Daphnia pulex: one gene and its partner. The protein of the gene in region 2 purifies or fractionates together with the protein of the main gene of each other region. This does not show direct contact. Links are inferred from orthologs where the notes say so. Each region holds a gene or a part of one and is shown on either strand. Other genes may lie near its edges.

What was found.
Region 1: the proteins of 14-3-3 protein epsilon (region 2) and protein chibby homolog 1-like purify together in Homo sapiens (affinity purification with mass spectrometry; 3 studies listed by BioGRID and IntAct, with this or other methods). This does not show direct contact. The link is inferred for Daphnia pulex from reciprocal best matches to the Homo sapiens genes YWHAE and CBY1.

Annotation. Positions count from the first base shown.
Region 1 is NC_060017.1:7,935,643-7,939,696, forward strand, and holds protein chibby homolog 1-like, read right to left. Parts: upstream 2,021-4,054; coding exon 1,613-2,020; intron 1,557-1,612; coding exon 1,443-1,556; 3' UTR 1,323-1,442; downstream 1-1,322. Other genes in the region: protoheme IX farnesyltransferase, mitochondrial-like, read left to right, coding at 1-281, 347-427, 484-659, 723-902, 967-1,277; thioredoxin, mitochondrial-like, read left to right, coding at 2,271-2,443, 2,520-2,643, 2,721-2,837; TM2 domain-containing protein 3-like, read right to left, coding at 2,930-3,043, 3,100-3,174, 3,235-3,450, 3,517-3,894. UniProt on the Homo sapiens protein: Inhibits the Wnt/Wingless pathway by binding to CTNNB1/beta-catenin and inhibiting beta-catenin-mediated transcriptional activation through competition with TCF/LEF transcription factors.
Region 2 is NC_060024.1:10,587,492-10,593,315, reverse strand, and holds the start of 14-3-3 protein epsilon, read right to left. Parts: upstream 3,304-5,824; 5' UTR 3,137-3,303; coding exon 3,073-3,136; intron 1,413-3,072; coding exon 1,213-1,412; intron 1,152-1,212; coding exon 1,045-1,151; intron 719-1,044; coding exon 581-718; intron 527-580; coding exon 312-526; intron 219-311; coding exon 157-218; 3' UTR 1-156. Other genes in the region: piwi-like protein Siwi, read right to left, coding at 4,375-4,491, 4,558-4,887, 4,968-5,082, 5,148-5,323, 5,394-5,516, 5,588-5,753, 5,821-5,824. UniProt on the Homo sapiens protein: Adapter protein implicated in the regulation of a large spectrum of both general and specialized signaling pathways. Binds to a large number of partners, usually by recognition of a phosphoserine or phosphothreonine motif.

The DNA of each region.
Region 1 (4,054 bases), on a different chromosome or scaffold from region 2:
TTAGTTGTGAGGACAGTTTTGCAAAGCAACCCAGCGCTTGGAACAAACCAAGATGTAGTGCATAGTGTTGCACAAGTTTCTGGGAAATCTCCCAGTGATCCTGCATTATTGACACCATCCAAACTGACAAATCATTATAGTTCTCTGGCCAAGTTTCGATTAACTGGACTTGTTGTGTGCTCCGCCGTGACTGGATATGCTATGGCGCCAATGCCAACTGACTTAACTACCTTGGGTCTTTGCCTTCTTGGTACGGCTTTGACTTCTGCTTCTGCAAACACGTAGGCTATTTACCATCTCATATATTTTATGTTGAATCATTTCTATAACTCTATGAACTGTGCAGGATCAATCAGTTTTTCGAGGTACCCTTCGATTCACAAATGGCAAGAACCAGCAATCGAGTATTGGTTCGTGGACTATTGAGGTAAATTTTCTCATCGGTCACGCAACAATATTATTATCTAAATGCTTTTTATTCAGCCCTTTGCACGCTGTGTCTTTTGCGGCTGTGAGTGGAACGACTGGTTTAATCATCTTGAATTATGGAGTCAACGGAGTGTGCGCGTCTTTGGGTGCTCTGACTTTGGCGTTGTACACATTGGTTTACACGCCAATGAAGCGATCTAGTATAGCTAATACGTGGGTCGGATCCATAGGTATGGCACGCTTTTCTTATCAATAGTTCATAAAATAAAATTTTTATAACGTTTTACAAATAGTTGGTGCCCTTCCTCCCCTGATGGGTTACGCTGGTTGCACTGGTTATCTAGACGCTGGCGCATTGGTATTGGGTGGAGTTTTATATGCCTGGCAATTTCCTCATTTCAATGCTTTATCGTGGAACCTTAGATCCGACTATTCCCGTGCTGGGTATAGAATGATGGCCGTCACAAATCCAGGTAGATGTAGTAACATGATAACGTTTATTGTCTCAGCTATAACCACCACCTTCAATTACTGTAGATCTCTGCCGGAGAACAACGTTACGACATACCGCTGCTTTGATAGGAATTTGTACGACCGCACCTGTTATTGGATTAACAACTTGGACGTTTGCTCTGGACTCTTTACCTATAAACATGTATTTTTTGTATTTAGCTTGGCGTTTTTATCGCCATTCGGATAGCTCTAGTTCTCGGAAACTTTTCCGAATGTCTTTGGCGCATTTGCCTATAATTATGATCCTTATGCTCGTTCACAAGAAGAGCGAGGACAGTGAAGACTGGCTGCTGAAAACAGTTCGTGGTCTCTATCCTTCTCTTACCCAAAGTTGATGCTCCTTGCAAATAGAACTTTTAAATAAAAGTGGACTAGTCGGACCAGTGTAAATACAGTATATTCAAGGAATGAATGATTATAAATTCCACAAATTAAAATGTTTGATTTTTAGGGTTTCACACAAAATTATATTTGCTTCAGTTTCCAGAGCTGAAAGTGTATTAAAATAACTTTCGTCCTCTAAAGGAACTCTTCTTCGAACTCTTGGTTTCGGTGGTGGTTTCATCAGGTACGTCCAGTGAGTTTAAATGAGCTTCTAAGGCTGTTTCTGTCAGCTAAATAATGATATAAATTAGTCATAGAAATTGTTTAAATCTAATGCAGAACTCACCATAGTCAACAGCAAATCTGCTTGAATTTTTAGATAATTGTTTTCTCCTTCAAGTTTCTGAAGTAAAGTGCTTGATTTTGCTTTGGCATTGGGAGCGGTGCTGATTGAAACCCACTTGGCGTTTTCAGAATTAAATTCAAACTGTTGGTTTTCTCCAAGATCCAGTTTCACCTTGTCTATTTGAATGCTAAATTCTCTCTCCAGTTGTAGCGCATCCATGTTCCGTCTGAGATTTGAAACAGTGGACGTTTTTCTTGCAGGGCATTTTTTTGGTTGAAATTTACTACGAAAAAGAGGCATTATTTGTAATCTGATACAACTATGAAAATCTTGTGTTTGAAACTTGGTTACCACGACGACCGCGCGTAATCGAAGGTTTCCAAAACAGGTGAAGTTGCGTAACCCCATTTCGTACGTACGTGCCACACTCCGTAGTCCGTACGATTCCCCCTACATTTCGATATCGTGTCCCAACGTTTTTCGTAATTGTAACTTCTACTCGGCTTATTTTTTTAGCTGAACTCTATTCGTTGCAAACTAGACATCTGATCAATGAGATAATCTAATTTACTCATTTTCTTTTTTTTGTTTGAAAAGGGGCAACGTTGTTTGCTTTCATACAACAAAAATTTATAACGTCATTCAATAGTTATTGAGAATGCAGCGTATAATTAAATTCAATCTAATCAGCCAAACTAGTTTTGTTGCTCGGCGGCCCATTTCTATCGGTCGAACAGCTAGCTTCCAATCATTCAATGTTCAGGATCAAGAAGATTTCCAGAAAAGAGTTTTAAATGCCTCCACGCCAGTCCTGGTTGACTTTCACGCCAAGTATGTCGCATTAACTTTTTGTTTTACATGTTTTTATTTACTTGTTGCATCATAAGTGTTCTTATTATCATACCAGATGGTGTGGACCATGCAAAACTTTAGGGCCAAGACTGGAGGCACTGGCTGCAGAAAAATTAGATAAGTTTCATCTTGCCAAAGTTGACATTGATAATGTCCCCGAGCTTGCAGAAGAATATAATGTATGTTTGCCCGATTACATAATTATAATTAAATCTATCCCAATCTTTAATAAAGACATTGTGAATTATTGTTTCAGGTCACTGCTGTACCATCAGTCATTGCTATCAAGGGAGGAAAAGTTGAAGGATCATTTGTTGGAGTTTTAGACGATGACAAGCTCAGAGCATTCGTCAACAAATTGATTGGAGAATGATCTATGTTAACAATTGTATGATGTAGGGGGGAATTACACAGTTTCATGATAATTTTTTATTTCTCAGTACACAAGTTATATATTCTTCTATTCTACAAAAACACAGATCCATCAGCTGGTTTGAGGTAACCAACAGCTACTAATATCACATCAATCAAAGTCCATACTCCAGCTCCTCCAAAACTAAACAACTTGCCAATCCCTTCCTAAAAATTTAGAAAAATTAGCTGTTGAATGCAACTTCTTGTTTAAAGGAATTCACCTGCCAGTGACCAAGGTAGAACCTATCAGCTCCAAAACCACCTAAGGTAATGCTCAACAGTAGAGTTGTAGTCCACTAGCAAACAGAAAAATTTAAAAAAATATGATACATTTAGTATTAATTAACATTTATTACCTTGTATCCAGATGTCCAATTGCATCTAATATTTTTGAAAAATGTCCTCTGTCCTAAACACAAGACATGTGGTTTTGCAGTGCAGTTGGATCTGTAGTTTTGAACTGGGTTAGCTGGTGTGTTACAGTAGCTGCCTGTTGCATTGCAGGAATGATCTTCTGGAGAAGTCTGGTAACAATATTGACATCTCATAGTTTTCTCAAATACTTTAGGACCCTGTTGATTTAAAAAAACTTACTTAAATCTAAAAATATAGTTAAAATTTGCTTTAGTAATGCATACATCACATTTTGGAATAGCTTGGCAACTGACATTTACCAAGTTACCATAGATACATGTAAAATTGAACTTGCAGATTATGCAATCAGCAGGTAATGAATGGCACTCCCTATCAATTGGGCATATTGAATTGGAAATATGCCATGGTATTACTCTTTCGTTCAAAATTTCAATCGTTTGCTCATGAAGGAAATTATTTGCTAGTCCCACGTCCGTAACGTTATCTTCTTTCGGTATTGTTTCACATGATTCCTGTAGGCAAGCTTCTTCTGTCTGATTATTCGTACTCGAATTATTGAACTCATCCGTCGTTTTTGTAGGAATAGAACACAATAGTAAACATAATAACAGTAGTTGTAGTTTACTGACATTTTTTGACATTTTTCCACTGTACACAATGCTTTTTTTGACGCAGTGGCGCCAATATTATATAATTCAAATCAAGTCCTTACTTCGTGTCATCCGTCAAAATAACTCTTTTAGAACAAATAGCATTTAACTTAAATAATCTCATGCAACTGAATTTTTGTATGGTCATAAG
Region 2 (5,824 bases):
TGGGAGACAGATAAGAGTAAAGGAAACATAGGTGGTGGATTTCCGGATTACTTTTTTTTTTGTTGAAAAAAAAAAATTAATAATATAATGAAAAAATTGAACAAATCATGTAGGACTTAAGAAAAAAAAACACATCAATACAAATTACATCGCCGATTAGGAGACGTCTTGGTCCTCAACGTCTGCGACTTCCGCTTTTGGTTCACCATCTCCTTGATCAATTTTTTTAAAAAAGGAAATTTTAATTATTAACACACACAAGTCCTGTTGGCGTGATTGGACAAAAATCAATTAGCTGTTGCTCTACTAACCAGCTTCTCCATCGCCCTGCATGTCGGAAGTCCAGAGGGTCAAGTTGTCCCTCAAGAGCTGCATGATGAGCGTCGAGTCCTTGTACGACTCCTCCGAAAGGGTGTCGAGCTCAGCGATGGCGTCATCGAAAGCTGCCTTGGCTAACCGGCACGCTCGGTCCGGAGAGTTGAGGATTTCGTAATAAAAGACGGAAAAGTTCAAGGCCAATCCCAATCTACAAATGATAAAGTTAAGTTGAGGATCGGCAACAAATTGTTAGTTAAGTTACCTGATGGGATGGGTGGGGGGTAATTCCGTCATGGCAATGTCGGAGGCGGCTTTGTAAGCCATCAACGAGTTCTCTGCAGCTTCCTTTCGGTCATTTCCTGTCGCAAATTCGGCCAAATACCGATGGTAATCACCCTTCCTGTATAACACAACGACAAAAGCAGAGGAAGGGAGTTGTGTAAAATCGTCAATAATCAATACCAGGCCATCCATCCACAACATGTCTGCGCGCACACAAAGTTGCGCTTGGCGCAACGTTTACGTACGATAAAATTGTGTACACGTTTGGTAGAGATAGTAACGACACTTTTTCTTTTCTCTCAAAGCGAAACACGAGTAGAATTCGAAATCACAGACGCTCGAGTCTCAAGGACTTTGAGAGAAATCCACCGGTGCATTTAATAGGAATGTCCAACTACTACTCGCAAGATTGAAAAAAAAAAGGCCAAGCAAAAATCGATTTACATTTTGTAGTAAAAGACTTTAGATTCTCCAGTGGTGGCTGATGGGATGAGATGCTTCTCGAGGACGCTCAAAATATCAGAGCAAATGTCCTTCAGCTCTTTCTCGACCTATAGACAAAACAGATAAAGGCACAAATCAATGAATAAAATTTGAATACATTATCCATACCTGATTGCGGTAATTGCGGATGAGTTCAAGTTTATCTTCGGCTCCCTTGTTCTCCTCTTTCTGTTCAATGGACGAGATGATGCGCCAAGATGCACGACGAGCGCCGATCACATTTTTGTAAGCCACGCTCAGCAGATTCCGCTCCTCGACAGTCAACTCGACGTCCATCGACGCCACCTTTTTCATGGACTCGACCATTTCTGCATCAACAAACAGATTATCATATAGTCTTAGCCAAAGAAACTTGTCAGAGGATCCCTTTCTCTTTTGGACAGAAAAAGATAGATACACTTTCAGACATAAAGGCTTTGCCTTCTTTCCCCCCCATCTCCCTGTCTACCCCACCCCCCACACTCGAGCGACTTTTCAAGTAGCGGATCAATAACGGCCACGGGAGGAAACACGCTACCGCCTAGTTCCGCCCGCTCTCCACACATCCAGCACGTCGCAGTCGTCATATAACCCCCAACATCAGCATCCCCACGGCGGAAGGAAGGAAAAGTACAGGGGCAAACCGAGTTGACGTTACGCACACACACACAAAACTATGTGTGTCCTCTTTTTTTCTAAGGGAGGAATTGAAAAATAAAAGTTTCTCCAGCTGGGCGTACATGTTTGAATTCAGGGAAATAATAATAACCAGACGATCGAGTTGTATGCACGGACAGGCTCTCCACTTGGATTCACATCGCAGTGGCGTAATGACAGGTTCTAGGGCGACACACCCACACCGCATTTTCTCTTCTTTCCAACTTCCCTCCATCATTGAAACGTGAAGGGGGGGGGGGGGAATAAAGTTAAAAATATAAAAACTAATTTTTTTTTTCTACAACGACAAAAGGCACGAGACGCGTCACGTGCGACAACTATTTTTTCGAAAATATGTGGAAATAGAAAAACGCCCCATTCATACCAGTTGGAATATTTTCCTAAAGGAAAAAGACGAAAAATAAAAATGGTGGCTAATTTTCCATCGGGTTTCTCCGCCCACTGTCAGAGCTTGACCGATTCTTGGTTTTTGTAAGCCGCAGACAGAAGAGTCGAGAGAAAAATATAGAAGAGAAAATTAACCATCACAGGCGGCCATTGTTGTGTGAACGGTTTCCTTTTTGATGTCCTCGAGAGAGAGAGAGAGAGAGAAGCTTTTTTAGACGGCACGTTTTCATCAACGTAGCCAGGACCCCCAACGCATCACGCACATAAGGGTGGGGTACTCTACCGAGCGTCGTTTTGAAGAGATCCGTCGCCTTGGTGATGCGCAATGGTGAGAGGCCCAAGTTGAATAGAAACGACTACGTATTTTTCACGAAAAAGAGAATAAAAAAGTTATTGGAAAGCAAGTATACAAAGAGACAGTCCAAAGTCTCTGCTCTCTCTCTCTCTCTCTCATGACTCATTGATCCAAGTCATCTCGTTACGTAGCGGTAGGTTTCGAGGAAAACCACCCAGAGATACACACACACACCGGACACACACCCAGAATTACTTTTTTTTTATTTCGTACTGCGACAAAAACCCTCAAAAGAGATTCTAGAAAACATGGCTGAGATTATACTATACTTGATAAAATGGAATTGTCAGGAAAAATGAACCTCAAGTACGAGTGTCATATTGATCGAAAGTATTCAAGCCAACACTAAGAGGGGGGACGCCGCTGAATTTCCCCATTACACAACCGAATGTACAAGAAAAAAGACAAAAAGTCAAAACGTCATAAGTCTGTCAAACGCCCAAGCCTTTTTTCAAAGCCGCCTACCGTCTCGTTCGGTTTTACCCACAGAGATGCACAGTCATAGAGACACAGAGGAAATGAAACTTCATTCTTTTTTTCGATTTTACATTTAAATGACATTTACGTACCATCGTATCTTTCGGCTTGTTCGGCGAGTTTTGCCTTGTAAACGTTATCCTCTCTGTCTGCCATGGCTGCTGGAATAAACTATAAGCAGATGTCACTGGATAAAGAAACAAAAGCGAGACCGTTGGAATCGGAACCTGCCTCGAATTGTCTCGACTAAGACCAAAGAGTGTAGCTAGCAACTGAGACTCCACCGTACGCTTGCTAGAATGCTTTGCCCTGTAGCTAAAGCGGAAAATGCCAGCGAGAGTCGATGGGATGGGAAGAGGCCAGATTGCCAGATCTCGTTTCTTATTACCTATGCATCTAGCAGCGTACAGTGCTGACATCTATACAAGGCCAAACACCTTTGGGGGCTGTCTAATCTTTTAGGTATTTAATTAATTCTTATGAAATAAAACTTTTATTCAAATTTTCTATTATCCGAGTAATGACATGTTCATTCTAATCATTTGATTCTATGCATACTTTTTGTGAATTCATTATTGGATGTCTAGCAACCATCTATTTTGTTACGTAAATATTATTTTATCGTGTTTTTAAAAAGCTTCAAGTTATGAAATCAAGTCATTTTATAGTATTGAAATAATTTTTATAAACGATTTAGTTCGCTGTGGGACGATTGAGATCCCTTGGTTACAAAAGAGACAGCCGCATGGTGTCTCTAGTGGACAATTAGCAATTCAATGACTTGCGAGTTCTTTTGGCTTTTGCGGACCTGAAAGTTGACTATCGAGGAAGCCCAGACGATCCTGCCCAGACGTACCCTTGTTGGCCTTGCAGGCCTGCATTCTTCTCGATACAGCTGTCAGCTTGACCACGCCTGCCAAGCAGCGATGCCACATTCTTTTGTTTTCCTCAGTGCTTTCGAAACACCTAATGTGCTATGTGCATTGCACACGTAGAGCTTTTCCGTCAATGCCATCTCAACGCGAATTCCATTGCAACTCATGTTTATTTCATCATATAAAAACTCACCACACGAAAGTCAATAAATCTACTTCATTTAAAAACAAAGGTTTATTACTCATTCCTTGATTACATACAACATGGCACAAAGGGGCGTTCATTATCACACTTCTGACATGGCCCATGAAGGTGAAACAGAAAAAAAAATTGCATGAAAAACACTTCCATTGTCGATATCCGCCATTGCAAACAAACTCAAGAAAAATATTTTTGGCGTCATTCGAAAATCGTGCGAGTGAGGCATGTCTCGTCGTCTTTTAGTTTTTTTCTTATGAGTGAACAAATTAATACGTTAAAAATGACAAAACTTAGGGAGAAAATAAATGAAAGGTAATTCAAAGGTAATAAGGAAGTCGATTCAGTCCTTCATGCGGTTGCGTCATCATTGATTCACCAACAAGGTACGCCAACTTGTGCGCATACTGGATGGGCGCTGGAATACGCAGGGTACCCTTAAATGAACAAATTGGTTAAATTCAATTCTGAATAAAATAGACAATAAAAATAAAAAAACTTACAGGCCAATTGTAGTAAAGATGGGTAAGAGCATAAGCCAGTCGCTGGTGAATATCAGGGGCGATTCCAGTGTCATCTTCAATAACATTGTAGCTGGTGGGAGAAACGGTACCTTGCGTAACTTTTTGAGACACCAGGAAGAAGTCGAATCTCTCATTGAGCGTCACTTTATTGTCGACAACCGTGCCGCAAGGAGGGTTGCTCGCTCCACGTTGTCCCATGGCGAAAAATCGCGTGTTGATCCGCTTGCTTACGACAATGAACGCAATGGGTGGATTATACACACCAGTCCCGAGGTAATTTGTTCGAGCACCAGCATCGGAACAAGCCTCCTACTCAAGCCAAAAAATGATAATTGTATAGAAAAACGAGCCTCAAAATCTTCCCACAGACCGTCACTCATCATTATTACCCTCAGTGCCGCCACTTCCGTATCCTTCAGTCGCGCAATGTCTCCAGCACCGACACCGTCACGGTAGACAATGATTTTTTCCGGCAATGTTTTTTCGTTCATGATGTAATAAGATCTAATTGTGCGAATGAAAAAGAGATATTATTTTGCACGGAACAAAGAAAGCATAATAAAACATACTTGAGTGCGCCAAAGAGATGATCTTTGAAGCTGGGTGAAATTTCTTCATTGTTTTCATGAATTTTCACAGAAGAATAGTAACGCGAGAAGGTCGGGTTGATGGATGCAACAAATGCACCGACAGCTTTTCTTTGACGTGCATCGTGGTACGTATCATAGCCGATAACCATCCATTTCTACATTCAATAATAGCCAAAAGATAAATTAAGAATTCAAGAAGCAAACGTCTCGATCGAGAAAAGTTACCGTCTGGGGGACTGCAACTCTCCAAGGTTCCGCACCCAACTTCGAAGCAACTTGAATCATAACTTTGGTGGCGATTGACATGAGCTTACCGGGCTGTCCCTTGATATTTCTTCCCGTTATCACCTGTGCAAGAAGATCAAATCTAGTTAAACAATCATGAAGATGCCAACTACGATTCCCTTTCAAACGGATACCTGAGATGGAATGCCGAATTCTGAGATCGTCATCTTCTTGATTGAAGCATACGTATCTGCTCGTGCAGCACGCAACACGCAAAAAATAAGGCTGAATTGCTTTCGACCACATTCCGCTCGAATAGCCTCGACGTAGTTTGACGTACGGTCCATTTGCATATTAATACTATTATTGAAAATCGTAATTTAAGAATGAATTGAATATTAAATATATTAGAAAAATGGTCGCATACTATT